Notamacropus eugenii: one gene and its partners. The protein of the gene in region 3 interacts with the protein of the main gene of each other region in a pairwise test. Links are inferred from orthologs where the notes say so. Each region holds a gene or a part of one and is shown on either strand. Other genes may lie near its edges. The genes, in order: ARR3, ZGPAT, DVL2 and THAP1.

Region 1 (7,617 bases), on a different chromosome or scaffold from region 3:
CTCAGCATAGAAACTCTTCACTTCATAGTCCACTCCACATGCCTGCAGTGGATGGGGAAGGAGAACAAAGACATCTGTCCCGGATGTGAGGCCACAGGGCTGATGGACCAAGTCTTGACCCTCAGCTTCCTTGGGTTGGTCCCCCCAACTCTCTTCATTGGTCTCTTCCACTTTCTCCTACTGCCCCACTGGCCTGTTCCCCCAGGGAAGCAGGATCTCACCTTTTCAGCATCCTCGGGCCCAGGCTGCAGGGTCACTGAACAAGGCAGATTGGTGGGCAGCTGTCAAAGGGAGGGGGATATCAGAAGGAGGTCAGCAGACAGGAAGGTCAGGGCCTTTCTCCTACTTCCCCTACTCTCTGTGCTCCCCCCCCCCCCAATGCCCAGTTCTGTCCTCCAGGGCTTGGGGCTCACCTGGAAGGTAAAGGGATGGGCACTGTCACCCAGCTTTTGCAGCAGGCATTCTTGAAGGCTTGTGAGGGGCAATGGGGCTTGGGTGGGCTCTTTGGGGAAAACTTGCAGGGCCTGCACATAGAGGTCTTTTCGGAATGTCAGACCGATCACGTCCAGATCATCCCGGCCATAACGGAAGGCACAAGTCAGCACCACAAAGACTGCGGGGAAATGAGGAGGTACTGACATGGGGGCTGGGATGGGCTGGCCCTGAACAGGGCCCTGAATAAGCCCCACAGATGCAATCCAAAGGTAGCATGGCAGAGGGTTGGATTGGAGGCAGGGCTCAATGGGCTCATATCCTGCTTCTTATACTCACTAGCTAATCTCTTTGGGCTTCAGGTAACTCTCTGTGACTCTGTTTTAGGTAAGTACTGGTAGAGGGAGCTTCCAAACCAACAAAATCCCAGGTCCTTGGTGGTGTGACAGTATACTGCTGAGGCCTCATCCTTCTGCTGGCCTGTAAGCTCCCTGAAGACAGGGACTTCAGGATTTTTGTCTTTGTAGCTCCAGCACCTAGGACAGTGCCTGGTGCTTTATTTTAGTCAGTGTGCAATACGTGCTTATCAAATGACTGAGTGAATGTAAGAATAGAGCCCAAGTGAAGGAGGGGCAGAAAGGAGGACAGACAAGAGGGAGCCTCAATAGACTGGGGGGTGGGGAGATGAACAGCAAGGGTAACTAAGTGGTGCGATAGAGCACAGGGCCCAGAGTCAGGATGACCTGAATTCAAATCTGGCTCCAGACACTTAATAGCCATGTGACCCGGGGCAGGTCACTTCCCCCTGTTTGCCTCAGCTTCCTCATCTTTAAAATGAACTAGAGAAGGAAGCGGCAAACCCTTCCAGTATCTTTGCCAAGAAAACCCCAAGTGGGGTCACCAAGAGTCAAACGCAACAAAGATGACGTTAGGGTGCACAGGAGCCCTGGTCAGAAGGTGTCACCGTCCTTGGAAATGCTTATTGTTTGGTAGTGAAACTTTCCTTTCTGCCTTCAAAACAACTTGTCCACTTCTTTTTTTCAAGCTTGAAAGTTTATTTTCCAAAGAAATGTTCATTCTGGGAGGATCATTCTGAAGGCTTTGAGCTTTTCAACTTGGGAAACTCATTTAGCTTACAAGCGTGTTTGATGTGTCAAAGCTCTCCGATTGTCAGAGGCCTTTGAAGCCAATCCCCTCATTTTACAGAGGATGGAATGGAGGTAACACAGAGAGGCCTAGCAAGGGCAGAGCAGAGGCTCAGAAGTCCAGGCTCCTGACCCCCAGAACACTAGGCTCTCTCTGACCTCTCAGAGACACTTGAGCTGCCTCAGCTTACTGTGGCTAAAAGCTTCATTTAAAACCAGCTTTTAACTCATGAGTGATTTTCCAAATCGAGTCCATTTAGGAGGGTTAATATAGGAACCCAAAAACACCCCCCCCCCCAGGGGAAAGCCCCTAATTGCAATTCTTAGTACTGATCTGTCCGTGTCATTTCTTTAGCTGCCTCATCCATGAGGTTAAGTGCCTGGGCTTGGGGGCTTGTGGGCCTTTCTTATCTTGATTCCTGAATTGCTCTGGGACCCCCAGCTCCTCCTCTTCTCTTAGTGACTGGATCTCTTCTACTTGGGATGGGTTACTGACATTGGTTGGCGGGGTGAGACTCTGTAATGGCATCGGGACATTTTCTCTTTCTACCTAATTACTTTAGGACCTGGAGAAGAACAGCGTAGTTTCCCCATCCCAGACTCGAAAGATACAGACTCAAGAAAGATAGAAAGACACATACACAGAGCATAGGTGGGCTCTCTCTGTCTGGCTTTCTATCTTTGTCTCTGTGTTTGTCTCTCTGTCTGTCTCTGTTTCTGTCTCTCTCCATCTCTCTGTCTCTGTTTCTCTCTGTCTCTGTCTGTCTCTGGCTCTCTGCCTCTTTCTCTCTCTCTGTATCTGTGTCTCTCTCTTTCTCTCTTACATGTACACACACACACACACACACACACACACACACACATATGCCCCATTACCTTTTCGATCTTTCAAGTACTCAGGGTCAATCAGGACAACACCATCTGTGGAAGTGGATGAGAAGGCTTGAGGAGAGGTGCCCCTGGAAGGGATCTCCTGCACCCCCCCCCCCCATTTGCTTCCTTCTTTATTTCATGCCTTTATTTCAGGATCCCTCCCCTCCACCCTATTGATGTCAAGATCTCTGGCCATCTGGAGGTCACTGACCAATGGGTTCCACTGAGTCTATATGGTCCACAAAGTCTCGTTTCCCTAGGTAGATGGAAAGCTGTTGGAAAAAAAGCCCCTCCTGTAATTCTCCAAATCACACACCATGATCCCTCTGCTCAAACCTCCCTGAGATTGCTCAATGATGCACGTTGACCTCCCTCCCGCTGGCCTGGAGCCTCTCACCCTCCTATTGAGGCAGGTCTTCTTAAACACCCTGAAGAGTAGGAGACAAAATAGTTATGGGGAGGCAGGGTTTGTATGAAAGAAATGGTTGTTGCTGGAATTAGGGAGGAAATGGTGGTGAGAACATAGCTGGGAATGAGAGGGCAAGGCATGGGGTGAGGGTGGGAAGGCTGGGAGCTATCCCCCTATGCTCACAGCAAGCACTGTTGGGGAGATAGTGAAGACTGGGGGGTATGGAGCATGGGGTGCTCAGGGAATCACAGGGAGTAGAAAGGGTGTCTTACTTGGAGCTGGTGGCCATGGACTCAGTTTGGGAGCACTCCTTGGGTTGGGAGCTGAAAGTCTTGACGTGGGACTTGGTATCTGTGACCTCCTGGGTAACCTTGGGCAAATCACTCCTCTCTGGGCCTCAGTTTCCTGAGCTATAAAATGAAGGGGCTAGATGGGAGGATCTCCGAGGTCCCTTCCAATACCAACACCCACGACCCTCAGAGAGAGGAGGCTTCGGCAAGTTGGTTCCCTGGCACCTCTCCCCTTTGCCAGCTCCTGAGCCCCCAGGAGGACTTTCAGTTGGGGGGAGGATGGTAGATAGTTTACCACCTGGTGCCACAAGAGATTGGTTTCCTTGCTCTGTAACCCCTCTCCCTCCCAGCTGTCACAGGCCCTTCCTCACCCCTCACACACACACACGCACACACACGCACACGTTCTCCCTCATACTTCCCTGTCCTATTTTATATATGCATATAAATGCATATGTATATGTACATATGTACAAAGAACATATATATGTGTGTACATTTACATATACACAATGGAATATTCAATTCAGGAAAAATATACGTGCATTTTTTTCTTGAATAGGCTTGCTGCATATTTTTGGAGACTGGCTGTACTAATGCGTTGGAATTCCCTAATTGTCAGCTCTGAAGGGATAGGAAAGACTCCATCCAGAAGACTTAGACTGGGCGGGGTGCTTCCCAGGTTTAGCCACAGCATATATGCTAAAAGGGAGACCCTGGTGTCTATGGGAGAAGGGAAGTGAGAAGGAGAGGAAGCAGGCAGAATTGGTTAGGAGCAGAGAGAGAAGAGAGGGGAGAGGGGAGTCAAAGCTGGCACAGTCCTGAGCTTTGGGGGCTGGGGGCTGCTCTGCTAAGCTAAGGAAGTGATCTGACAGCCAGACTGTCCACATCTCTGTGTTCAGGGACTGGGGACAGGGAGAGAGAAGCAGGGCTGTGGCTCTGGTCAGAAGGAGAAGACACTTTCAAGGCAATAGAGGCAGAAGTACGGGGAACTAGGGCATACTGTTCTCAGCTTATTGAGGTCTCCAGATCCAAGCGCTCTGAGTGAGACCTGTCTCCTGGGCTTGCCTCTGTGCATCCTTCTGTCCCTGGAGGGCTAGACCATGTGCCCTCAAGCCTCCTCACAAAGGCTGCAAGCATCTTTTGGCTACTGAGGAAGTTTAATGAGCAGGAAAGATCATGGTCTCACAGACTTAAAGCAGAAAGGGCCCTGAGAGGTTAGTGATTCCAACCTGTTTGTTTAGAAGAAGAAGGAAGCAGAGGCCTAGAAAGGGGGAGTGATATTTCCAAGGTCACAAAGACACAAGATAAAGCAAAGTCTAGATTTATACTCAACTCCTCTGCTACAAAGTCTGTTGTCCATCCCCCTTTCTGATGTTCCCTCTCTAAGGGACCTCACTTATTGGAGGCAGAAGGTATCAGGTTCTTAAGTGGGAGTAAAAGAAGTGGGAACAAGGGCCAGGAACCTCCCTTTGACTCAGATCTCTTCTCCCTCCCCACCACTGTCCTCCCCAATCCGATCTCCTCATATTCTCATCCCAGTGCCTGCCTTCTAGCCCACAGTCCCATCGCCTCATGACTAGAAACATCACCAACACCATGAGTGATGCCTGTTGGGCCCCAGGGCTCTTTCTATGCCATCCTCTGGGAATGGAGGTCAGGCTGTGGAGGGTTATGCCAGGCTGGGGTTGAGGGGCCTAGGCCTAGACAGCTCCCAGACTCTCAGACCTGGGTGGCAGCTGGCTCAGCTGGAGGAGGGGCAATTTCCCCTCCCAAACATCCCCTGCTGATGTAGGATTGGCAGACATGGATGGACAGAGGGAGCATGAGATGGAACCGGAGGGGCAGGAAATGTTACCTGGAGAGAAATATGAAAGGCAGCCCAGCCTCCTGCTCTGCTTGCAGTGCTCTTGACCATAGCCCTTTTATAGCCCAGGTCCTTGGGGCAGAGGGGGCTCAGCCTGATTAACTTTGGGGTGGGAGGGGAAGAGAAATAGCATAGCCCCTAATAGCTCAAGAAATAAGAGTTTGGAAAGCAGATTATGAGCTAAGAGATTAGCTCCTAGTAGCAGGAGGTTGGACAGGGAGACTGTGGCAGACCTCCCCAGCGTCCTGTCCTGGAAATGCTCTTTCCCACTTCTTCTGGAATATTCCACCATGTCAGACTGGGTGGGAGAGGGAGTGTGGTCCCTGAGACTGGCAACCAGGCTCACTGGGACCTCGAGGACACGCTGGCTGTGATCTAGGTGATGTGAGTGATGCTACGTGTGGCAATGTAGAAAGATAGTTGGCCTGGGAGTCACAAGGCCCAAGCAAGGTCCTTTCTAGGTCTCAGGCAAGCCTCTTCATTTCTCACAACCTCTACTTTCTCATATCTAAAAGCAAGTTACTAGTCCCAGCAGTGTTGTAAAGCCCAAGTGAGGTGCATGTCTGGATAGATGGCCATTTACATGCATGTGTACGGATCACTGTGTAAGCTTTCAGTCAGTCAGCTGATTGATTGATTGACTGAGGCCCTAAATTGAAAAGAGAAGAGGGTCCAAGATGGAACCTTAGAGGACACTCATGCTTGGGAGCAGAAGACAGATCCAGCAAGGGAAACTGAGGAATCAGACAAGTTGGAGGAGGAAGACCAAGAGAGAGCAATGTCCCAGAAGCTCAAGGAGGGCTAAGAAGGAAATAATAATGACAAGGTCATTTTAAGAGAGTAGGAGAGCTGGAGGCCAAACTGCAAGGAATCTGGGAAGGACTAGACAATGAATGAAGGAGTCTGGGGGTTTTCCCCGAGGACTTTGGAAGTGCAAGGATGGTGAAATATGGGAGCACAGTTGGAGGGATGGCAGAGGCAAGGGGAGAACTTTTTTAAAGGATAGATTGGGATGTTTGCAAATGTATATCCTTCTAAGGTCTGCATATGTACATGTTTGCATGTAATAATATGCGTGTGTGTGTGTGTGTGTGTGTGTGAGAGAGAGAGAGAGAGAGAGAGAGAGAGAGACAGACAGACAGACAGATAGACAGAGACAGAGAGACAGGGAGAGATATAAGGAGTAAGGATGAGGAGGGGAGCCTGAACTTTCACTCTCGGGGGCAGGTAATACCTGGGATTCACAGGTCAGGGGCTAGGAGACCAGAAGGTACCAGTTGGAGCATGGTGCCTTCAGCATCAGCCCTTGGCTTGCAGCCTCCTTCTCCATCTGCCAGTCTCTAGGGGCCAAGCTAAGCCAATGTAAGTGATCCTAAGCAGCTCTAGTGCTTTGCCTGATAGAGACAGAGATTGACGCTGGGGTTTATTCTTGGCCCTCCAGTCTGCTTAGCTGCCCTCACCAGCCCTGCCCACAGGCAGAAGATGATCTCTGATCTACCTCGGAGCCAACCTTAACCTGCTTTTCCTGATGGTTGGTGTGGGCAGGCAGGGCTCACCCAGCTGGGAGCAGGGCTCTTATTTTTGTCCTTTTCATTTTTTAGAATTTCTTTTTTTGTTACATTTTGAGTTCTGAGCTGTCTCCATCCCTTTGTCCCTAACCTGAGTTAAAGAAGGCCAACATTTGACACAGGTCTACATACACACAGACATATACAGACATACACAGACATACACATATACATATATGTACAGACAGACACAGATACATACACAATACAGACACACAAACACATATACACATATACATACACACATGTACACACACACACAGAACCATACAATACATCCTTCTATCCGTCAGTTCTTTCTCTGGAGGTGCATGGCATTTTCCTTCGCCAGTCCTTCATAACTGTTTGGATGATCCCATTACTCAGGACGGCTCAGCCGTTCCCGGTTACTCTTTGAACAGTCTCTCTGTTACTGTATATGATGTTCTCTTGATTCTGCTCATTTCCCTCTGCGTTATTTCATGCAGGTCTTTCTGGGTCTTTCTACCACCAATGTGCTCAGTGGCAAGGCTCTTGCACCCTGCCTCGCCAGGGTCTTCTCTTTCCCAGGTCCCAGATACCCTGCTCTCCTCTCCTAGTCCTGCCTTAACCGAAGCTGGCCAAGAAGCAGCCAGAGGTCCCTGACTTCTGAAACGCATCCCAACAAGGGACTGTGAGTAGAAAAGGGAATTTCAGAGTTCATTAACACAGATGTGGAGCATTGTGGGTGATGGGTAAGGTAAGGGTATGCCCATCCCTCTGGGTAGCTGAGATGGGCTGGGCTGGATGACTGGATCATGGGAAATCCATAAGCTGAGGAACTGGGAGGTAAGGGTGTTTGAGGAATATCAATATGTACATTAAGGGCAGGAATTGGGGAAAGAAGAGAAGGAGGAAACCACAAATAGGGGAATCCCATTCAAAATAATGAGGAAATACGTGAAATATCGCAGAGTCAATCTACCAAGACATGCTCAAGACTGATAGGAATACAACTGCAAAGCACTTCTTACAGAAATAAAGGAAGATAAGCGATTGTTTGGATGTTCGTTAC
Region 2 (7,198 bases), on a different chromosome or scaffold from region 3:
CTGATGTGCAGAAAACAGCTATTACTAAGTGTAGATTGGAAACTGGCATCTGGAAACTCCAGCTTCTAACTGCATGAACAAAAAAAAAATAGTATGTTTGAGCAGATAGATTTCTAGGAGTTATTTGTAAAGCTGCTTCCTATAAGAAGTCAAAATATTCATACTGTGAGGTTTTGAACAGTAAAATTACCAAAGAGCTATCTTTACCTAGCTCAGTATCTGGTTTGTGATGGGACTATCCTCAGGACCATAGAGTTTCTAAAAATTTTATGGAACTTAAGCATAAGGACAGGCCTGGAAAAAAAGAAAGTTCCTTTCTTACCTTATCCCAGAGAGACTGCAATTCCTCTTGTCCTCCTAAATCCCAGAACATAAGGCGAGCTTTGCCCACATCAATAGTACCAACTTCAAGGAAAGAAGAAGGAAGAAAAGAGAAATTAAAGGTAAAATACAAGATCCCAGTCACACAAACTTCATTTTCCCCAATCTCTCATCTGAAAGTAAAACAAAATAACTCCCCACTACTCCACAGAGTAGCAATCACTGAGATAAGGAAGGTATTCAGCTCTCAGAAATTCAGTTTCTTTCCTTTACCACATAAGAAGATCAATGAATAATCTGTTATTCCCTGGCTATCTCACCTAGGTCATCATGAGATATTGTCACACTATATCTATTTGCTTTCCTGATTCTGTAACCCCAAAAGATCCACTTACTATTCAGGCCCACTGTAGTGGTGATTTTGGATAAACTCATCCCTTTGTAGTTTCTGTTAAATCGGGTTTTCGTTTGCTCCAGGAAAGTCTAGGTAGATGGAAAAACAAACAAGAAGGTAAGTTTAAAATTGTCCAAAATGGAATGGGCTGCCTCAAGGGATAAGAGTTCTCTGTCACTGGAAATCTTCAAGTGGAGGTGAAATGATGCTTATTAGGGATTCTGTTGATGGGATTCATGATTTCAGAAAGGGCTAGATTAGAACAGCTGAGCTCATTTTTAGCTCCAAAAATCTGTTAGTTTCTACAATCCAGGAATATGCCATAGCTAGCTCCTACCAACTCTTGAAAAATGACATTTAAATTTTCAGTGTATTTACACCTCAGAAATGCTATAATAAAAGTGTGATTTATTGTCTTACTGATTGCCTGGGCTTAAGAAAATGATAAAGGAAATGTTAAGAATGCAGATTAAATATAAAATTGTGTTGTATGAACTTTTTTCACTTGAGACCCAGCTATTAAACACTTAACCAGTACACTCCAATTATCATAACTGTCTCAGAAAAACAGATCCAAAGATCACTCCTTCCCCTTTCTAAAATGCTCCTTTCTTACAATCACTTACAATAACCTTTTCTCAGACTTACAGCTGAGCTATCACATAATCAGTTGAAATTTTACTGAATGAAAAAAAAAAGTAGCAAAATAGATTTTACAAAAAGGAACTGAGGTAACCAGAAAAGAAACTACCTACCGTCTTTCCCGCATTGTCCAGCCCCAAGATTAGGATACAGTATTCATCTCTCCGGAACATGTACTTATAAAGCCCTGATAAGAGTGTATACATCCTGCTCCTGTAAAGTACAAGAAACCAGGAATTACTGGGGAATACTGCTGGGGAACTCTGTTCCTTACAGCATCTTCCTTGCTTCCTTCAATATAACAACAGTAATGATCGTAACAACAACAGATAAAACAATTGAGCCAGAAGGTCCAGGATCCTATTCTAGGCTCCTTTTGCTGTGTAATCTTGAGAAAAATCAACCTGTTTCCTCATTGGCAAAATGAGTATTATACCACAGACTTCTCATTTATTCCCTAGAAATTTTGTAAAGATTAGGTTCTGACTGAAAAACTTTAAGCTTTTGGGAAGATCAGTGATAACAATGTCATAATACTACTAGGCTTATCCCACTGCTCTTTCCATGTGACTGGAAAAGTTTCCCCAAAGACACTGGCATGTAACAGGGTGAGTTTCTGCTTTCTCTTTATACAGTGAGCTAGACTGAGTGCTTCTCAGCAGGCTAAATGGGCCTTTTAACTTCTCTCAACATAAGGGCCTACAGCTGAAAATATCCAAGGACCAAAGTGGCATAGCACAGCAACTCTTTTATGGGGGCCACTATCATTCACCTAGACAGAAACTTGTCCCTTTCTCTCTTGAGAAACACTATAACCCAGAGATTCTGGGCTTTTAAGGGTTATTTTAAAGGTTATGGGGAAAAAATTAGGGGCCTCATAAATTCCCATAACTTGTGCTCCATGGGTCAAACCAACACCTCCACCACAGCCAACAAAAACAAGACTAATCTTTCACTGAGGGAACCATCTCCTTTACTACTGACTTGAACTAACTAACAGATAAGGAGAAGAGTATTAGTTTTCAAATAATGGTTTGGAACACTAGGATAGGACAGACCTACTGGCTCAGCAGTAAGACAAGAGGGGTTCTATCAGTAGGCAGACCAACTGATCTGGACACCCACACAGGGACTCACTAGTTCTGATGTTAGCTCATAAACGAAAGTGGGGTGGGAGATAAGAATAGGACTTTATGGCTCAGAAAAAGGTCTTGGAATGGCTGAATAAGCTGTGGTAGGATTGTGATGGAATGGAGGGGGATGACTTCAGAAAAACGTGGGAAGACTTATATGAAGTGATGCAAAGTGAACAGAACCAGGAGAACAATGTACACAGTAACACAATATTGAGGCAGTTACTAGGCAGTGGATAGAAGGCTGGGCCTGGAGTCAGGAAGATCAGAGTTCAAATCCAGCCCTAGACATTTACTAGCTCTGCAACCCTAGACATGTCAACCTGACCCTGTTCTCCTCAGTTTCTTTATCTGTAAAATGAGGTGGAGAAGGAAATGGCAAACCACTTCGGTATCTTTAACAAGAACCTCAAATGAGGACAAGAAGGGCCAGACACAGCTGAAAAGTCTGAACAACAAATATAAACAGTAGCTCTACAGTAATAATGATCAACTGTGAAAGACTCAGCTACTCTGATCAATACAATGAATCAAGACATTTTCAAAGGATTTGTGATGAAAAATGCCATCCCTCTCCAGAAAGAGAGAACTAAGGAACTGAGTGAACATTAGAAACATACTTTTTTTCACTTTCTTTATTTTTCTTTCCTTTTTTTCTTGGGTAGGGGTGGGGGTTTGGGCAAGGAAAAGAAAGAGTGGCTGAGAGCGATGTATTCCTATTAGCTCAGATGGAGCAAGGCTCTCGAAAGCAGGGGCACGTAACGCCACGGTCTCCAAAATGGGGAGCGAGAGGGCAGTGCAGGAACACAGGTTCAGAAGGGGAGTGGGAGGGCAAGATGAACCCACGACTCGGAAGTGGGAGGAGGGGGCGGTGTAGTCTAGTAGTGGAAGGGGGCCCGGAGCGTCACCTAGGAAACTGGGTCCTGTGGCCCAGACGCGGCCTGGGCCAGGAGGGAGGGGACGTGCCTGAGTTTCAGAGCGACCCATGCGCTTCCTCTTCGCCTCCAGGGAGAGGCCGGCTCCGGCCAAAGGGCCCTCCCCACAGAGGGAACTCTCTGGTCCGGCCTCAAACTCCTAAGTCAGCGGCTCGGGAACTTCCACAACGAACGTGGAGCCCGTGAGGAAGCAACAGGGAACGGGCTGCGGGGCTCCTACCTGCGGCCTAGCGCCTCAGAGACGGAGCCGGAACGACGGCTACTACAGCCACTAGGGCCGAACGAGACCCTCTCGGGCCACTACCTCTACCGCCAGCAAGAGTCGACCTCTCTCGCTGACCCTGGCGCTATGACTTCTGGGACATAGAGTCCACACCGAACTCTTGGAGAAAGGAGAGGCCTTTTGGAAACTACGAATCCCAGCAGACACCGGAAGTCCGCGGGCGGTAGGGTCGTCAGCTCCAATGACGCTTGCACTTCCGGTGGACGGCAGAAGCTGGGGAGGGAGTTCCGGTGGGTTCGTGGCGACCCAGTGAGGGAATCGAGGAGCTGTTGTGGGCCTCTCTAGCCAGAACAAGTACGGCATCTATGGTTGTCTTGCCCGAGCGGCGGTTTCATGGCGGCCGTGGAGGTGGCGGCGGCGGCTGCTTCCCAGGCCTGAGGGGTGAGAGGCTGAAGAGACACTGAGCTTACTGAGGGAATAGGGCCCGAAAAAACCTGGGCAGGGAGGACGGGGCTCGGGAGCAGGACTAGAGATGAAGAAACGATTCCTCCACCGAGGGTCTGTGGGCGAGGTCTCTGCGGAGGACGCCCAAGGGCTAGGCCTCATCTCCCCTCCCCCACCACCCTGCTCCCACCGCCGCCCCTTCCTCCTCCCCCTTCCCGTCTTCTTCGTTATAGTCTTCCCCTCTCCTCCACCTTGTTCTCTTCTCTGCCCTTAGGAGCTTACGTTGTACTGGTGGGAAATAAGATCTAGGCAGCTAAGTCAGTACACAATTTGTACAAGGTAAATAATTTCTCCGCCCCCCACCGGCTCTCCTCTCCTCCCTTCCCTCTTCCACCCTCCCCACGGCCTCATCCAGTCCCTCTTCCTTCTTCCCCATGGCCTTTGTCTCTTCCTCCTCCCACTAACTTTGACATCCCATCTTCCCTTCAGACCTGTCCGACTACATGACAGCTTTAAGTTTAGGAACCTTAATTTTAAAGGACTGCATGGTTCCTGCCCTCGCGAGTGGCCTTGCTCTGGCGTAGCTGTCCTTTGACAGGAGTGATGATGCCTCCCCTAGCCTGAGGGGGGATGGGGCCCAAACGCCAGGACTTCTGTTGTGATTAAGCATCTGTTTGAAATGGCCTTATTCCTCATCTCTGCAGATCGTGATTCCTAAAGGTGCTTGTGGAACAGCTGCCTCCTAGCCAGCGTTTTGTAGGATGTAGGGATACTCAAGTAGATCATCAGAAGAGCTACAGACTGCCTCTGCAGGATGGATGAAAATAGTGTGGAAGCTTCCATCCAGACCTACCATGTCCAACTGCAGCAAGTGGAGCTGGCCCTGGGGACCGGCTTGGACCCTACTGAAAAAGCTGACTTGCTTCAGCTGCAGGCTGACTTAAAGCAGCTCATCGAGCTAACTGAGTCCAGTCTTGTGTCCATCAAGAAGAGTAAGCTCCTGGCCACACTGGACCCAAGCCTTGGCCTAATTGAGAGCGCAGTAAGGGATGAAGCTGAGTATTTGGCTTTCCAGAATGCCATTCGTGAAGTAACAGATTCTGAGACTCAAGGTGCTGAAACTACAACCTCTCCTGAAAGAGGAGAAACGGAGCCTGACAGATCTGGGCATGAAGAGGAGGAAGAGGGAGAGTTGAGTGGGATGAAGGTGAATGCTCCCTACTACAGTTCCTGGGGCACTCTGGAATACCATAATGCCATGATTGTGGGGACAGAGCAGTCAGAGGATGGCACAGCAGGGGTTCGTGTGCTCTATCTCTACCCGACTCATAAGTCCCTAAAGCCCTGTCCCTTCTTCCTGGAGGGAAAATGCCGATTCAAAGAGAACTGCAGGTAATTCTCTCATGCCATTCTGTCTTTACAGGTACCAGAAGACACTCAGTCAACTGAGGACAACAGCCTCAGCTTGAAATGGTTGGGAGTGATTGGTTTAGTTTTTAGTCATTTCTCATGCTGCCAAGAGGTGCATGAGGCATTCTCAGTATTGTTTTCTTGCCCTCATTAGTACAATATAGGGCATGACAGTGTTTAGAAATTAGGGTTTGGAGTTTTTTTGGTGGAGGGGGTGCATTTTGGGAGGCGGGTTCTTGGACCATAGTTTGATCCTAGGCACATCTCCCCTTCTCCACTCCTTGGTTTACTCCTCTGTTAAATAGGACTATACTTCTTTGAGTGCTTTGAGTTCTCCTGTATCGCACATGTGTGAAGCAACCTTGCAAAATGCTGTAGCTACTCACCCACAGTGAGTACCCTATGTGTCCAGTGAGATGCAGTGGTGGGCTTTACTCCCATGTGTCTTGGGGAGGGACAGGGACTGGGTGGAATAGGGAAAGCTGAAGGGTATTATTTGGTTTTGGTTTTGTTCTTGTTTGCAAGGTTTATGGAGAGGCATATTTCTATGTTGGCCTTAAGCTGACTGGTGGGACTCTTCTTCCTTGATTTTACATATCCTTTTTTGTTGAAAAAGAATTCAGCCCAACTAAATGAGCAGTGGTGTGAAAAATATGATAAAAATATATAATCAGAGACTTGCACGCTTGATTTTGTGTGGAATAACCTGAGCGAGCTCTTACTTTAACTGTACATTAGGAACGTGGGACCTAACTGGTTATCATAAAGGAAGTGTGGAGAAACCACTGAGCTAGTAATCCACTCCCAGAGAGTTGAGAGTTTACTGCAAAAACCTATCCCACCAAAAATAGTAAAAATAAAACAGCTCTCAAACTCTCCATTATTTTTGAATGGGTTACCTCTTTTTTGGCATCTATCTGATTCTCTGCATTTGAGTACAAGTTCTGACAGGTACTGGATTTGCTTCTTCTTGGTACCTGATGTTAGTGCCATTTATGGGTGGGAATATTTGATGTGCTTAACCTAATCTCTGCAGGTTCTCCCATGGGCAAGTAGTTGCTGTGGATGAGCTTCGTCCCTTTCAGGAGCCAGACCTGAGTGCCCTGCACACAGGCTCAGCCTGTCTAGCTAAGTACGATGATGGAATTTGGTATCCAGCGAGGATCACAGGTAAGCTATTAAGACAGGGAAGACTGAGGGTTTCCTTAATCAGTGTCTTGAAATGATTGCCTCATGCCAGTGATTTTGAAAGCTAGATCTGATATCAGATTTTTTTTTGAGATTCAGATAAAATCAGTTAGTTGTTAAAATTTGATGTCTTATTTTCATCATATATCAGGTACTGAAATGGAATGGTCTTTGTTTCCTTTCTTCCTCTATTCATTTCACTGTACTTCTTCTGTGACAATATTCATGGAAACAGTTATTGAAAAGGTCTTTGAATGTAGCAGTAAAACAAGTCAAAGATTGTGGCTCGGTCCTCAGTGCCGTCAGGTAGGACACCTGGGAGAAGCAAACTTGATCCCTCACACATGGTCAAAGACTGACCTTTATGCAGGCCGTTGAGTCCACAAGCATTTACCAAGTGTATGCTGTTGCAGGCATGATGCTGGGAGTAGAAAGACAAAAAGGAAATGGTCCCTGCCTTTGAGGAACAGGGGGGTAAATAAGATATTTGTAGATAAGTCAGTTCAAA
Region 3 (7,519 bases):
AGGAAGTAAGGACAGTGAGGAAGTTTCATTCCTTTCTGGAAATAAGGTGTCCAGCTCTATTATCCTTATCCCCATCTCCTCTCTATTCCTCCATTTCACCAGGTCTTATGCAGACCCAGTTTCTCCAAGATTTCCCAGTTCTACCCATTAGTTCCCCTCAGAGACTCCCTCAGAGATGTCTGGCCACATCACCCTCTCCAGTCGAGGTGGTCGCTGTTTCCTCCTCCGACGGTGTCTCTTTAGGAGTCGGGAGGCACTGCTCTGCTCCGTGGAGCTACTAAACCTAACAGGGATAATGTGGGCAAAGAAAAACAGAGATCTAAGGTAAGCAGAAAGAGGAATCACATCAGCTTCAGGTGAGGAGGGGAGTAAGGAGTGTGGGGACAGAATGGAAAGGGAGATATAAGACATACCTGCTCATGGTATCATCCTCATCTGAATCTCCCAGGCTGGTGTTCTCCAGTTCACTAGTTAGTAGAGTAGAGGAGCTCTCATAGCCAGCCAGGTGTCGCTCCAGGCGGGAAGAACCACTAGGCCGATGGCCCCCACCTTAGTAAGATGTATGGATATAGGTGGCTGGACTTCTGCTCCAGGGAGATCCAAAGTCTAGCACCCTATGTCCCTGGTTCTCCCCTGCCCATCTTTCACTGCTCCTATCTCCTTTTGGACCCAGAATGTGCATACTGCACAAACCATGCCTCCTTTTCTCAGAATTTAGGAGTGTGACTGCCCTTACCAACATGATCAATGCTCTCTCTTCTCCTGGACCGCTCCCGTCTCAGTGATATTACTGACTCGGTTTCTGTCTCAGGTTCCAGGTTCTCTCGGCTGCTCGATACATTAGGGCTAGAAAAGGAATGGGGTCAGGGAAAAAGGTAATGATGATGGGATTCCTCCTAAAAGCAATGATGATCAGCCAGCCCCAGAATCTAACTAGAAGCTGATCTTTTCTCTCCCTCCCATCACCAACAAGGCTCCCCAGTACTCACTGGAAGGATGGAGGCCTTGAGTCCCCAATGCCGCTAGTCCTTTCAGGAGGGAGGGGAGGCAGTGGTGGGGGTGGAGATGAGGGTTCTGCCCGAGGTTCAGGGGCTGGGGGAGCATTCTCTGGCTGTGGGTTATCTGAGGACACAAGCTACAGAGGTGGGGAACAGGGATGAAAAAGGACTTTTAGGAAAGGTAAGAACAGGGTAAAAGTTCCGGTGGGGAAATGATTCTAGGAGGGAGGGAGAAGAAGATGGAGATGATAAGGAGAACCTGGAAGGGGACCCAAGATAGAAAAACAAAACCTAGAAACTCAAAGAAAAGAATCTTGAGAGTCACATAGAATGGTAAACTGGGGTTTATGAGACTGAAAAGTTGTTCTGAGGGAAGGGAATAGGAAAAATCTGAAAGCGAGGCAGGGGCAAGAGCAGAGTGGTGAGGAGGCGTTCCTTTTAAGGAAACTGGTGGGGATGCTAATGTGGAAGAATGAGGGTCCCCTCATTCCCCTCAAGCCACCTTACCCAAGAGACCACTCTCCCATTGAAGCAAGGCAATCGGGCATTGTCATCTGAAATCTCTTCCTTCACCACGCTGCAAGGAGATGAGAACAAAGTCAACAGTGCTAGATGAAATAAGGCTGTTTCAAAGGTTCTGCCTTTGAACATTTCAGCCTTCTTTTTGAGCCCCTCCTAATGTGGGGCATTAGGGGGGGTCTTTTAAAGACAGTTAGCATTTCCCCTCCTCACTCCCTCAAGTTAATAACAGCCCAACTCCTCATCTCCCTCTAGGAATCCCCCTACCTAGTAATTCTTCCTACTTACTTCCTTTTCCTTTTCTTTTCAACCTAAGAACCTGGCAGGAGTTTTAAATGTTTCTTGCGTTTACTTGAAACTTCTTAGCTTAACTTTCAAGAGTAACCCCCCCAAGCTCACCCAATCTCCTTAAACTATTTGTCTAACCTTAAGGTCTCTCTACCCCAGTTGGGTAAACATGGTCCCCCTTTCTTTTGCCCCTGCTTTACCTTCTCCAGACATCAAGTCTTTGCAGAGATGTGTCCCCCTTACTTCCCAAATCTACAACTCTTCCTAATTTCCTAATTCTGTTCCAATGGGAGTCTTGACTGATCTCATTTACCCCCAGCTTTCATTCCACTATTACCTACCAGCACTCCTGTCTGAAGCTCTGTCCAGTCAGTGAATGTTTTTCTTTCCCCTTCCCTCTGATCCATGTCTAGAAATCCTCCCAAATATATACCATCTGCACCTGGATTTCTGCATGCGTCTAGGTGAGCACTCTATCAGACTGGCCAAGGGTGAGGGCTGTGTCTCTCCCATCAGGGTGGAAACTACCCTCCCCATTCCACCCCAAACTTCAAAGGAATGACAACTCTCCCTTTTTCCTTTCCCCAGCGCAAGATTTCATAGAATGCAAAGAGACAGACCCACCAATCCTGCAATGCCCAAATTTCCTAGTCTTCCTTCCCTCTGTAGGTCTCTTTGATCCACACCTCCTCCAGGAGATCACACTGACTTTGTCCCCTAACTGCACACCCTCCACCACTGGCCTTTCGGGGCACCTCACTAACAGCCCAGGATTCTCTCCGTCAGGACGAGGAGACACGGCCCAGCACACTCAGTCCCCAGCACTATCCTCGTCATCAGAAGGATGGCTTACCTTCATTTATCACTTTTTGTTTTAAGTGTGACAAAAGCAGTGCCAACCTCGTCACCCAGAAGTCAGTGGGAAGAGCCTGACTGCACGTCTAGAGACCTGGGTTCTAATTCTGGCTCTGACATTGACTATCTGTGTAACTGGGCAAAGCCACTTAACCTCTCAGTGCCTCAGTTTCCACATCTGCAAAATAAGGTTCGGTCTGATTTTCCGACGGTCCAAAGCGGCACGAAGCCTTCTACTTCTCCCCCCGGCCTCCCGAGCGGCATCCACGCCCAGGGCTGCGGCCCCGGGCCCCGCCACGCCTCCCGGCCGCGGCCGGGCCCTGGGCCCCGCGCCCCGCGCTCACCCGAAGTCCTGGTCCATTGACTTGAAGTAGTACTTGGCCCCGGCGGGGCGCTGCAGGACGCTCTTAAAGTCTCCCAGGGTGATGCGCTCGGCCGGGACCGGGATCTTGACCAGGTACGGCGTCTCCTCCTCGTCCAGATGGTAGATCACCTTGGTCTCGCCGGCCCCGCCGAGCCCAGCGGCGCCGCTGCCCGCCATGGTCTGGCCCGCGTCGCCCTCCCCGCCTCCGAGCTCCCCTCTCCTCTCCCCGCTCCCACCAGCCCCGGCCCAGCCGCCGCGGCCGCCGCGCCTGCGCACACGGCCGCTCAGCCCAGCCAGCCATCCCGGGCAGGCTAGGGGAGGGGGAGGGGGCGGAGCCCGGCCCGCTTACACCTCCGAAGTGGACGCCCTCCCGGCGTCCCCTCCCTCCCACCCAGCCCCACGCCACACACTTCCCACTGCCGCCCCCTCACGTGACACGGTACGCCTCACTTCCGGCTCCTCAGCTCCCCTCGGTCACGTGAGGACTCCCCAGCCTCTGCCCACCCACGGTGCTGCCGTCCCTTCCCCCGAAAACTCCCACCCCCTCACTCTTCCCTCATCTTCCCTCTCCCAATCCCCAGCCGGGGCCCGCCCCTAAAATTACCTCCAGCTCTCACCATCGTCCGGGGACCAAGAAAACACCTTCCTTCACAGACCAGCCCTCTTCTTACACCTCTGTCCCCACACATCCTCACCATGCCCCCCAGCCCCGAAGAACAGACACTCACTCGGAGCCGGCTACTGGGAACTTTCTCACTTATGGTCCAAAGGCTTACGTTCGAGTGTCTAAACCAGGAGACCTTAGAGGGCTGGACACGGGCTAGACCTCAGCATTTTGGGGGGAAGAACACGATCGCTTAGCCTTGCTTTCCCTCCTTTTCTCCATCAGATACATATCTTCCAAGAAGGAAAGGACAAGGGTCACAGGGCTATAAACACAAAAGAGCCCACTGTTTTATTTACAAACACGCGGTATGTACAAGCAGCTGGCCAATATTATTAAAACAAAGAAGTGGGGAGATGATGGAAATATCACCTGTCCCCCACAAAAGACAAGAGACCCATGTGTTACGTTCCTTTAGGCCACCTGAGCCAAAAGGTTTTCAGAAGGAAAGAAATGGGGGAAGAGGTTTGAGAAAATAAAAGGCAAGGGTCCAAACAAATGACAGAAGAAAGGGGTGGGCAATGCTATATTACACTAGAGGTATAGACAACTGCCTCACCCCACCCTGATTCCAGCCCTAAGTCTGGGCTGGTGGATATGGGAGTGAGCAGGGTCAACTGGCAGAACAGTGAAGGGATGAAGTAGGGAATCTTAGGAACAGGGGCATCTTCCTGTTCAATGGGTCAAAATTCAAGTCCTAAAGTCTTTAGGGAAAGACCCATTCATTCCCAAGTAAGCCTTCCTTGAGAATCCCCACCCCATCATGGGACAGTGTTCAAATCCCAATGGATCAGTGGCAACATTGGGACCCCGTCTCAGTTGATGATGTCTGTGAAGAGTTCCGACTTGAAGTAAGAAAAGTTTGGATGGGTCCTAGGGCTCTCCAGGCTTGGAGAGACCACCAGACCGCCGGGCCTCTGGCCGCAACTCCTTGCACTTCTGGCAGTAAAATATGTCAGGGACATTGGTCTTCTTAATCTTAGCACATGAAAGATGGATCCATGTTCCACACAAACTGCACTCAATCATGGGCCTCCCTGCAAAGGGCTTCTGGCAATAACAGGTGATCAAGTCCCATGAGTCATCACCTGAGAGAAGGGATGGTTGTGATCAGATTTCTGCTGAAGACTCACAGTCTAGAGAATTTCAAGCATTCCCCCCTCCATCCCAAAGAACCCACTCCCTTCAGGGACAAAAGTGTATGTTCTTCTGTCTTCCCACCCCTACTCCCCAGAGTACTTCCCTCAAACACCCTTCTTACCTGATTCTACCATGATGTCCTCATCCATTACCCGCATTTCACCCTCACTGGAGCTCCCATCCCCATCCTGGCTTGTCTCTGTGCTCCCCACTTCCTTGGCTTCACTCTCAGCAGGGATTCCTCCTGGGGGGGTTGAGGTGAAGGGCCGGGGAGCCTCAGGGGGTGGAGGGAGTGCAGAAGCTGGGGCCTCACCCCCACAACTGCCTGCTACTGCTGTTGTCACTGCTACCATTTCATCTTCCTCCTCCTCCTCCTCCTCTTCCTCTTCTTCAGAGTCTGTGTCACTGGGAAGAGCCCGAGGGGGCCCAGAAGGGGGGGGTCGATCCCCCCTTTCCGGCTTTTTCAACTTTCGTTTCTTACTCTTCTTTATTCTTGACCTCTTCTCACCATCTGCAGGAGCTGATCGAGGTCTCCGAAGCACTCCAAAGCTTCCTCCCCCTCCTGGCCCCAATTTTCGGTTCTTTCGGTCCTTTTTTCGGGAGGGTTGAGGGAGATCCTCCTGGGAAGCAATGACAGGGGTGAGGGTAGTAGGGGGCCGAGGGACATGTGTTGGGGGTGCGGGGACCAGAGGGGGTGCCACTTTGGGTCCATCCAGATCAAAGAGAGAGTCCTTAAGCTTCATCTTCTCAAGCAGTGTAGCATTGTCAGAGGCCTGCAGTCGAGGGAAGGTGGGCCCTGGTGGAGGGGGACCTGCTTGAGCAGCCCTCCTCTTAGAAGATTTAGCCTTTTTGACAAAAGTCTGGATGGTTCGAAGGTCTGAAGGGGCTGAATCCCAGCCATCACTATCTGCAGCACTCTCTCCCCGAAATGGTGAACTAGAGCCAGAGGCTGGCCAGTCACTTTCCTAGGGGTGGGTGGGAAGGGAGGGTTAAGTGTTGGTGCCCCCTTTCAACAAAATTCCAACTCCATTTCCCACACTTGCAAGACACATCAGACTTAACCACAACCGGGTACTACAGCAGTCATCTAATACCCTGGGTCTCTTGCACACAGTTAACTTCTCCAAGCCCAACCAATTCAGATTATCTAACCAACCCACCTACCTCCCTATAAATGCCAACAATTCAGCCCCTAAACTAAGCAGTCTCCAAACATCTCCATGAAGTGTCTTTTGTCACTAGAACCCATATCTCCCCCCCATGATCTATTATCCTAACCGTAATTCTAATAATAATAACCAGACAGTACACAGAACTTTTAAGGTTTGCAAATGGACTTCCTTACAACCTTGTCAAGCAGACAGTTTAAGTGTCATCCCGATTTTATAGATGCTTATGATCATCGATAGCAATTATCTTGGACAGGATTTGAGCCAAGGCCTCATGACACTAAATGCAACCACAGATATCTTCAACCTTACCTCCACAAGATCCCAAGAGTGCCCCCAAGACTCTCAAAAACTTTTCTGGCACACCCAAAATAACAAACAAAACCATCATTCCCCAATTGTCCTAGTTCCCTAACTTGTCCCTTCCTCCTGCAACTGCCTACATTAACTTTATCTCCATTAATTCTAATTCTCTTGAACCCCCATAACTTCTCCATTTTTGATATCCTTTGATTCTCCATCCTATCACATCGCCCAACGCGAAAAAAAAAACCACATTTTTTTCTTCATAGACCTTCTAGATTTATTTCCATAACTACCCTTAAACTCCCCTTTACCCCTTCAATCTCCCTAAATCTTATACAATAGCCTTCCCTCCCTTTGCCCTCACCCAAATCCTTCACATCCCATCCTTAAGATCATTGCCCCTACCTCTTTGCTGGAGGGAATGTAGCCGGCATATGCCAAGACAAAACTGCAAAATTTGTTGAAATCCTCAATTGTTCGCCTTCGTTTTTCAGGGGGCTACAGAAAAAGAAGGAATCAGACACCTGGATTTTCAAAGGGAACAGTGGTCCAAAAGCAAAGTTCCCCTGAAAAGAGGTAGAAGGAGTAGAGATCTGGGGGAATCTTACATGTCTGGTTCCCTAAAGAAAGTTTGGGTTGAAGTAGGAAGGGAAATCTCACCTGGGCCTCTGGCTTCAGGTTTGGAGGAAGATCTGAAAAAATCAATAAAAGCCCTGAGTCAAGGTACTGGAAAAATGTACATGCTTCTTTCCCCAAACGTTGTTACTCTTGAAGGACCCCCCACCTCTCTTTCCTCCCTCCCTTCCCACAGGAGGCATGAGTGATTGTGCTCCCACTTTCTTCCTAGCTAATCTTCCTTGTTCCAGTGCCCAGTCTTCTCAGAGTGCAATGGTTTACATGTGCCCTCCCATGTTGATGTTTCTCCAGGTTCTACTCTACTTCTTTCCACTGTTACCCTTCGTGGTCCCAAGGGCCCCTGGCTCCTCCTTTGCCCTTTATTCTGGGCTCCCATTCCCAATCCCTTTGGTTGGGACACTCCCACACACCATCAGGTCCTGTGCCCCACCACTCTAGTCTCTGGATTCTCTTTTCTGGCCAGTTCATGCAGAATCCCTTGTTCCCACTCCTCAAAGTTCTCAGGTTTAATCTGGCTTTATTACACCCCTCCTCATCATCAATTCTCAAGACCTGGTTCTCAGGCCTGGACATGCGGCTC
Region 4 (8,289 bases), on a different chromosome or scaffold from region 3:
CTGCCACCGCCGCCGCCGCGCTCCCGCCAGGACACGCGCCCGGCTCCGCCCCCTTGCCTGACCCTCCGCGCGCCCCCTCGCCCCCGGTGAGGCTAAGGTTCATCCCGTTCCCGTGCCGCTCTCCGGAAACTCACTTGTGAAAGGAAACGGGTTTATCCTTGTCGTAGCGGTTCCTGCAGCCATAGGCGGAGCAGGACTGCACCATCCTTCCGGCTTGGGGCCGTAGGGGCGGGCAGGAGCAGCTGCTGCCGCCGCCACCGCGCACCTGACTTAGACACTTCGCTGCCCTCTTTAGAGCCAGCCGACCGAAGCGGAGAAAGTTCGGCTCACTCCAGGACGCTTTTAATACGCCTGTATTGTTGTTTGCATTAGCAGGATCGCAGCCATCGCCCGTCTGCTCCCATCTCCAAGATGGCGGAGGCAGCTTCAACCTCACCTCTCGCGAGGAGCTGCGGGCGTCGGCTCTGATTGGCTTGTCGACCCGAGGTAACGTTCAGTTGGATGCGGGCAACAGGCGGAGTCCCGACACCTTCGCGCAGAGCTGATTCGACCGGCCCTTCCCTCCCCCTGGGAGGCCATGGGGGAATGGGGCGGAGCCTACGGAGTTGGCGGAATGGGGCGGAGCCTGCGAAGTTCGCGGCGGCGAAGCCCGAGTTTATTTCTGGAAGGCCGGGTTGAGGCTTGGCTTGAGGGGAGGGGCCCGTCGTGGGAGCGGGCGGGGGATTGAAAGTCACGAGGGGCGGAGCGAGGCGGGCGCAGGGGGCGGAGAAATCACAAGCCCCGCCTACAAGCCCTGTTTTCTTGGGAGAGGCAGCGCTTGGAGTCCTTGAAATCGATAGAGGTGTAGCAAGCGCTCGGCCCTCACCTTATGAAGGATAGGGAATGCCTTGATCGGCCTTTGGGCAAGGTTTTCCTAGAAGAATTCTGTAAAGACAGGGCTGGAAGGTGCTTAGAGGTCTCGCCCCGAGTCCTGCCTCTCGAGGAGGGGCGGGCCGAAACTGCTGCTCACAATATCGCGGATCGATTCATCGGCGATAGCTCCGCTTCTGGGGGGCGGGGAAGAGGGAGGCGACTAATAATTTGAACCAAGCTCTGTAGGTGCCTTTTTTAGAACAGTGGTTCCTAATTATTTTTTATGTCATGGGCCCTTTTAGTACTCTGGTGAAATAATAATAATTAAGAATTTGCAAAGTACTTGGCCAACATCTAACTTCATCCTCACAGCAACCCCGAGGGGTCGGTGGGTGCTATTAAATCTAACTAGATTTAAAACAGAAACCAAGCAGGTGTATGTCCCACACAGACACCCCTCCAGCTCTTCATCATCTCCAGGATTAGATACAAAATCCTCAACTTGGAATTGAAAGCTCTTTATGACATTCCTCTCCCTGGCCCCTACCCCATTTTTTCAGTCTTCTTACTTGACCTCCTCCTTGTTGCTTTTTTTTAAAAATAGAATGTTGGATTTTTTTCTCTGTTGCACGTAAAAACGTTAGCATTCTTTTTTATAATTTTTGAGTTCCAAATTCCATCCCTCCCTTCCTCACCCCCCCCTTCCTTCAGAAGGCAAGCAGTGTATGTATGTATAGATTAAACGTGTTCAGTCACGCAGAGTATTTTCATATTGCTGCTGTCCGTTGGAGAAGATAACTGCATATTTTCGTTGGCTGTCCTCCGTGCCTGGAATGCTCTCTCTCCTGGCTTCCTCCAAGTCCCACCAAAGATCCTTCTGTAGGAAGCTTTCTCCCATCCTCTTTAATTCTAGTGCCCTCCTCTCTATTATTTACAATTTATTCTGTATGTAACTTGTTTGAACATAGGTTGTTTTAATATTTCACAGTCTTTTACTTTTCTTTGTATTCTCAATAAATTACTAAAGTCTTAGGTAATTAGTAATTCGATAATTCACAAAGAGTAGGTTTTAATAAATGTTTATGAACTCTTTGTGTTCCCCATTTTGCAAATAAGGGAACTGAGGCAGACATTAAGTGACTTGTTCAGGGTCACACAGCTGGTGTCCAAGGTCTGACTTGAACTCACATCTTCCTGGCTCCACATCCAGTTTTCACTGTGCTACCTAGTTGCCTAACTGGACTTCTCAAAAAAGTGTTTTTAAATTAATAAAATGCATAGTATTACCAAAAAAACCAATTATTTTGAAATACTTATCCAAACATGTTTTTAAAAAGTTTATACACCTCCTTAAAAACTCTTACTTGAAATTTGCTAATCCTCAGACTTTACAGAGGGCATATGACTTTATCCCACTTCTTAATGATGTACTGCCTCATATATATTTCAAAATATTTATTAAACACTTTTTGTGTGCAGGGCTTCGTACCAGTCACAGGAGGAAAAGCTGAGATTACAATTTAAGGAGCAGCTAGGTGGCTCAGTGGATAGAGCACTGGCCTTGGTGTCAGGAGGACCTGAGTTCAAATCCAGAGCCTCAGACACTTACCAGCAGTGTGACCCTGGGCAAGTCACTTGACCCCAATTGCTTGCCTCCCTTCCCCCCCCCCCAAAAAGAGAATGCTAATATTAGAGAACATTAGCCTTAGAGAATGTTAACATTTCTCTTGGAAATTTTACTCTAAAGCCTCATCATTCATTATGTGGAAGTAACCCTAGGGTTTTTAATAGCATACCAATGGAGCACAGTTTTTGGCTGGGCCTGCTAAATTGGAAAGATTTAGAATAAACTCCAATACCTAGCATGTGATTGGAAGGGGATTGGTGCTATTGCAGCCCAAGACAGTGCTAAGTTTTGGAAGGGCTGTTATATGCATTGGTAGACTGAAGTACCCAGAGGGAGGAAATGATGGCCCTTCTGAAGTATTAAAAAATTAACATAAGGGAAAGGAAGTAATATTTAGGAAGGGGAGATAAACCATTTCTCTGAATGTAGAGTAAATGGAAGGATCTTTCAAAAGTGGTTCTAAGCAGCATTCTAACCCTTAACCAAACGAATTCACCAAGTATCTATGAAGCTTCTTCTCTGTGAAAGGTACTGGGCTAATTTTTGGAGAGTCAAAAATGACTTTCCCTTAAAAGACTTACCTGTTATACTGATGGATGTGTCAGCGTTCACAGAGAAGTCAGTCACAAAGGTAATTTGAGGAGAACATTAACAAATACAATTATGGAAGTGCAAGGCTTCACTCAAGGGGCACATTTAGTTAAGCCTTGGAAGAAGGGATTCTTAGATGTGGAGATATGATGGGAGTGAACTCAGGCATGGGTTTATGTCTTTGAATGCCCAGATTGGAGGAGAGGTTCCAGGAACTGCAGCCCTGTTTAATACGAATGTGGAGCTCAGGAAAGGAGTAACAAAATAAGGCTGGAAAGATAAGGCGGAAGAGTTTATATTTTATCTTAGAGGCAGGAGGGATTCTGGCAGCTGTGTCAATAGTCACTAAACATTTATTAAGGCCAACAATGTGCTCGACACTGCTTAGCAATGGGAATTCAAAGAAAGGCATGGAACAGTTTGCTTCCCTCAAGAAACTCAGTCTAATGGGGGAGGGGGGGGTGGGGAATGGGAAATGATCTCAGGAGATGTGAGTTGCAGAGTGGAATTCATTTTGCAGAATGATGAGTTTCTGGAGGTCAGGAAGTACTGGAGAGCACCGTTGGGAAACAATGAGGTGAATTCCCTGGATGCCCTTCTTCAAAGATGAAGGAGCTCTCCAGGGTCTGTCCTCCATCCTCTCCATGGGGAGGCATACCGGAGCCACAGGGTTATGGGGAAGTGTGAGTTTCAGAGTTGAATTCTTCTTGCAGAACGATGAGTTTCTGGAGATCATTCAGGACAGCAGCCAAGTGGGAAATGAAGGAGAGATGGCAGATAGGAATGGCTGGAAATAGGGAGTTACAAAGGGCTGAATTAGGGTGGTGACTGTGTGGAAAGAGGGGCATAGATTTTATGGAGGGTTAAAGGAGAAGACGTGGCAAACCAATGAATATGAATGACAAAACCTAAGATTAGGACATAGTTATCACCCACCTGTACTATTATAATACATAGGGACCCTTAACTTGGGGTCTATGAATTTATTTTTAAATATCATTGGATTTCCTTTGTGATCTTATATGGTTTACGTATTTAAAAACATTATTCTGCTAAGGGGTCCATAGACTTCACCAGATTGCCAAAAGGGGTTCATGATACCAAAAAGATTAAAAACCTCTGACCTATACCCTAGTGTCTTCCCATTTCAAATACAATGACTTACACTCACTTCTGAGTATTCTATGCTGGGGGAAGGTGATTTGTCTGGCAGCCTGGTGTGATAATTTGGTTACTGGCCTTGAAGCTGAAAGATCTGGATCTGAGTTCTGCCACTGCCACTTTTCTGTCCCAGTGATTCTGAGCAAGTTATGCTCCTTACATCTCTGTTGTATCCTCTGTAAAATGGGGGTGGGGCTAGTAATTCACAACAAGATTGTTATAAAGAAAGTGCTTTGTTAAATAAAGCACTCTAAAAATGTGAGCTATCATCATCATTGGCCTCTTGCTTAAAACCTGACTTGCCTCTTTCTGTTAATGGTCTCCATTTCTTGGTGTTTTAGGCTGTAAACCACAGTATTATTTTTTACTTCTCCCTTCCCTCTAACCCCCACATTCTCATTTTTCTCTTCTGTAAAATTAGATAAAAATAGCTTCTATCTCACAGAATTTTGAAGATAAATGAAATAATGTTATGTAAACAACTTTAAAAACCTTGAAATGCTATGTAGCTGATTTAGAATTTATGCTACCTGCTGTTTGTCCTTGTTCTCCAAGAGGACCATGACATCAAGGAGGAGACGCCATGATGTGCAAGTGAAATGGATTTAAGTGAGGGAGGGCTGTGCAAAGTCACCAGCCTCAATTCCTCCTCCAGAGGCATCAGGGTCCAGTGGCCAGATATGGATCAGCACAACTGGAGATGGCCCAGGATGCAGTGGGGGTCTTTGGCCTTTTCAAGCTAAGTTTAATAGGTCTCAATTTGACTTGAGCATCGTGCATTCAGTGATTAAAACTTAATAAAAAATGAGGCAAAGAATGGCCTCTTTAAAAAAAAAAAAAAAAAGGATCTGAGACGGGAAGACCCTCAAGGTTTTTCACCAAAACAGAAACGATTGTTATTTTCATTCATTTTGAGCCAATCAGGGCCCAAACTGAGACCAAGTAAGGTTTGGTCTAGGACTACAGTGATTTGGAGTTAAGGATGCTCTTTTATTAAGAGAAAAAAAAACAAAGCTTCAGAGAGTAAAACTTACATTCCCTTTGGGCAGAGCACTGGCAGGTAAGTGTATGATACCCTATGTGGAGGGAGAATAAAGAAAAGGAAGGAAGGAAAGGAGAGGAAGAGGAAAGCAAATAACCTGTGTTGCCCACCTGTCAGGGAGGTAATACCATGACATGCAAGTGAGTTTTTATGATATATGATAAGGATTTATGAAGGGGGTAGGGAATGGTAATACTAGTTTTACAGGCCTTACAAAATAGTTTCTTAAAAAGAACTAGTTGAGGGTAAGGGAGGGGGAGAATTTAGGACTCAAAATCTTATAAAAGTGAATGTTTTAAACTAAAAACAAATAAAAAGAACTAGTTGACATGGCATATTCCCAAATCAGATCAGAAGCATTAGCTCTTTCTGACATTTTTAAGAGTTCTATTTTTATAGAAAGTGCAACATTGGGTGGAAATGCTAATTTGGTTTATTAACTATAATGATATAAAACTGAGCTGTTCTTATTGATCAGAGCCAGCTAATTAATCAGTCATATAGAAAATTAGTGCTTGGACAAAGAATTCTTATTTTAGTATGGATATAAAAGGGCATTTTTAAATACTTGTTTTTAAAAGTAAAAATAATTTAAGATATCAGATGTCATGTTGCTTTCAAGTAATTACTGGTTCTCTTTTTTTCAATTTCATTTTTAAAAGATTCAATCTTATCTGTAGAACAGTTTGTAAGCTAAAACATCATCACTAGAGTGGGAGGGTGGTGCTTATTAATTAATATTGAGTATTCCCCAGAGAGACATATTATTCTGTCCTGGCTCTGCCTTTGTGGTAGACCAAGGTATAAGGATGGTGTTAGTCGAAGAATATATGCTTTGTTGACCTGTTTGGGAAAAAGGCTCAATTCTGATCACAAAAAAGGAACCAAAGGCAAGAAATGTAATAATTAGACTTTTCTTGAAAAGGCAATCTGATTATGACTAAATATCATAAAGGACTTAAAGTACCTACTTACGTAGTATTCTAGGGAGCAAAAAGATACATGCAAATAAGAACAGCGAACATTCAGAGCAGATAGTTTTCAGAAAATTCTGAGAAAATTTAAAAGTTAAACATGAATAAACAGAGTCAAAAGGGAAATTCATTTTCCTAGACAAGGAAGAAAAAGCACAAGTTAAATGGGCAAAGGCAAAAAGTCCTGTGTAAGAAAATCATGGTGTTATATGCTAATTGTCCAGTCTGCTAGTTTTATTAGTTGTGACAAATATGACAAATACAAATAAGAAATGAAAAAGCACTTAAGCTTTCACACATTTGAGTTTGGAGCCATGGCTAAGCATGAAAGTTGGCTTATTTTTCTTCAAAACTTACACATGACTTAGAGTCAGGAGGCCTGTAGTTTTCAAAGGGGGAGCAAATAAAATATAAAAGCCTATGAATGTAGAACCAATTAGTAAGAGATACCACACTCATTTTTCAATTTTTTTTGGCACATGGCAAAAATTAATATAGTAAATTATAGGTACAATGGGATGCTTAATACACATTAGTAATAAATGAAGCAGGAACAACAGTTACATCGAATACCATTTCATGGTACCATTCCACGCCTGTCTTAAAAATTTCTGAGCACATCCATTACAGAAGTAATAGCAGAACAAACATTTGAGATAGGCTGCTTTTATTTGAAAGAGCAAATTACTTGCACATAAATTCAAAGCTTAAACTCAAGTATTATTTCTCCATAACAACAACTGTGAGGTAGATTCCACATAGTAATAAGGGATTCAGGTTACTTTTGTGTTCTTGTTGCAGTGACGAAGATTCACCACTGAAAAGCCAGAAACTGTGGTGCTTGTGACATCTGACCAACGGACGGAGTCTGGGCAACCGTCTAGACTCCCCAGATAATTGATCAATTTACTATATACTCCTGGGGGCACTCTGTATAAATCACTTTGATTTGTGTGATTTTTTACCTTGGATCATGGGAGTTATAGCTGAATTCAAACACTGATTAAAAAGTGAAGTACTTTACTTGGTTTAAATACATTAAATTTAAAATCTCTTTATATCCATTGCCAGAATTGAATGCAATGAACTTAAGACGGTCCATAAATTTTAAAATGTCCTTTTTTAACTTGATGTGGTTTCAAATATTACAATTCTTAAAATGCTACAAATTGTGATAAAAAAATACCTTTATCCAGCATATTAAAATAAAATCAATGTTTATCAGAATTGTAATAGTGGGTAGTGTAGGTAGAACATACATACTGAAAATTTCCTTTTTCCACAGGATAATTCAATTTTGTACCCTAAGTAAGGTTTATCCTTGACTTGAAGGATTCCAGAATCCCTCAGTTGAGTAAATGTAGGTATAGCAAAAATTCTCATAGCTGCTATTCTTCCCTTTTATGATGAGTCACTGTAGGGATTAAGGTTTTATAAACAATAGTGAGAAAGTATCTAGTCCATTTTCTGCTTGAGATTCACACCTAAATTATCCCACAGAAATGAAGAAATATATCCAGAGATATATTCTGGTCTTTTGCTCCAAATGATAAATCCCCAAATCCTTCTTACCTAAATACAATATGGTATGTCACCTTTCATATCATTTTTGTATCTACTGTAGACATCAATAGCCAGTTATTGTCCTCCAGCACAGAAAAAGCTGAAATAAAGTCATCATTATTGACATTTTAGAGTCAGTACCAAGTTGATGTCTGTATCTGAATGAATTACAGATAAGATTTTCTGATTATTTCCCTCTTGATGCCAAGGACAGTATTACACACAGTAGGGGCTCAATAAATGTTTACCAGTAAGGTTAATAGTTTTCATTATCTATCATCACTGATAAATTAGGAACTAGCTGTCCCTTCATACTGTTACTGTGACAAAGCTCATTAAAAAACTATTCCAGGTTAAGTCAATTGAGGAATTTTAAGAGCACATGTCAACTTCCAGGAAAAGAAATATTTTTCTTACTCATTTTGCCATCCCACCAATGTGAAACACACCCCAGGCTTGAACTGAATTAGGCAGCAGGT

What was found.
Region 1: the proteins of DVL2 (region 3) and ARR3 interact in a two-hybrid assay, tested with the Homo sapiens proteins (2 studies listed by BioGRID and IntAct). The two-hybrid records come from large-scale screens. The link is inferred for Notamacropus eugenii from reciprocal best matches to the Homo sapiens genes DVL2 and ARR3.
Region 2: the proteins of DVL2 (region 3) and ZGPAT interact in a two-hybrid assay, tested with the Homo sapiens proteins (2 studies listed by BioGRID and IntAct). The two-hybrid records come from large-scale screens. The link is inferred for Notamacropus eugenii from reciprocal best matches to the Homo sapiens genes DVL2 and ZGPAT.
Region 4: the proteins of DVL2 (region 3) and THAP1 interact in a two-hybrid assay, tested with the Homo sapiens proteins (2 studies listed by BioGRID and IntAct). The two-hybrid records come from large-scale screens. The link is inferred for Notamacropus eugenii from reciprocal best matches to the Homo sapiens genes DVL2 and THAP1.

What each region holds. Positions count from the first base shown.
Region 1 is NC_092879.1:100,598,893-100,606,509, forward strand, and holds the start of ARR3 (arrestin-C), read right to left. Parts: upstream 3,247-7,617; 5' UTR 3,149-3,246; coding exon 3,132-3,148; intron 2,879-3,131; coding exon 2,848-2,878; intron 2,723-2,847; coding exon 2,662-2,722; intron 2,499-2,661; coding exon 2,454-2,498; intron 614-2,453; coding exon 414-613; intron 282-413; coding exon 222-281; intron 43-221; coding exon 1-42. UniProt on the Homo sapiens protein: May play a role in an as yet undefined retina-specific signal transduction. Could bind to photoactivated-phosphorylated red/green opsins.
Region 2 is NC_092872.1:496,789,010-496,796,207, reverse strand, and holds the start of ZGPAT (zinc finger CCCH-type with G patch domain-containing protein), read left to right. Parts: upstream 1-4,089; intron 4,090-4,366; 5' UTR 4,367-4,431; intron 4,432-4,796; 5' UTR 4,797-4,906; coding exon 4,907-5,484; intron 5,485-6,538; coding exon 6,539-6,672; intron 6,673-7,198. Other genes in the region: ARFRP1 (ADP-ribosylation factor-related protein 1), read right to left, coding at 323-405, 717-804, 1,471-1,564, 3,800-4,011. UniProt on the Homo sapiens protein: Transcription repressor that specifically binds the 5'-GGAG[GA]A[GA]A-3' consensus sequence. Represses transcription by recruiting the chromatin multiprotein complex NuRD to target promoters.
Region 3 is NC_092873.1:78,832,339-78,839,857, reverse strand, and holds the start of DVL2 (segment polarity protein dishevelled homolog DVL-2), read right to left. Parts: upstream 3,306-7,519; 5' UTR 3,202-3,305; coding exon 3,005-3,201; intron 1,576-3,004; coding exon 1,506-1,575; intron 1,136-1,505; coding exon 990-1,135; intron 847-989; coding exon 737-846; intron 550-736; coding exon 414-549; intron 284-413; coding exon 193-283; intron 1-192. Other genes in the region: PHF23 (PHD finger protein 23), read right to left, coding at 4,562-4,776, 4,950-5,793, 6,709-6,801, 6,964-6,995.
Region 4 is NC_092872.1:617,706,019-617,714,307, reverse strand, and holds the start of THAP1 (THAP domain-containing protein 1), read right to left. Parts: upstream 3,310-8,289; 5' UTR 206-3,309; coding exon 135-205; intron 1-134. UniProt on the Homo sapiens protein: DNA-binding transcription regulator that regulates endothelial cell proliferation and G1/S cell-cycle progression.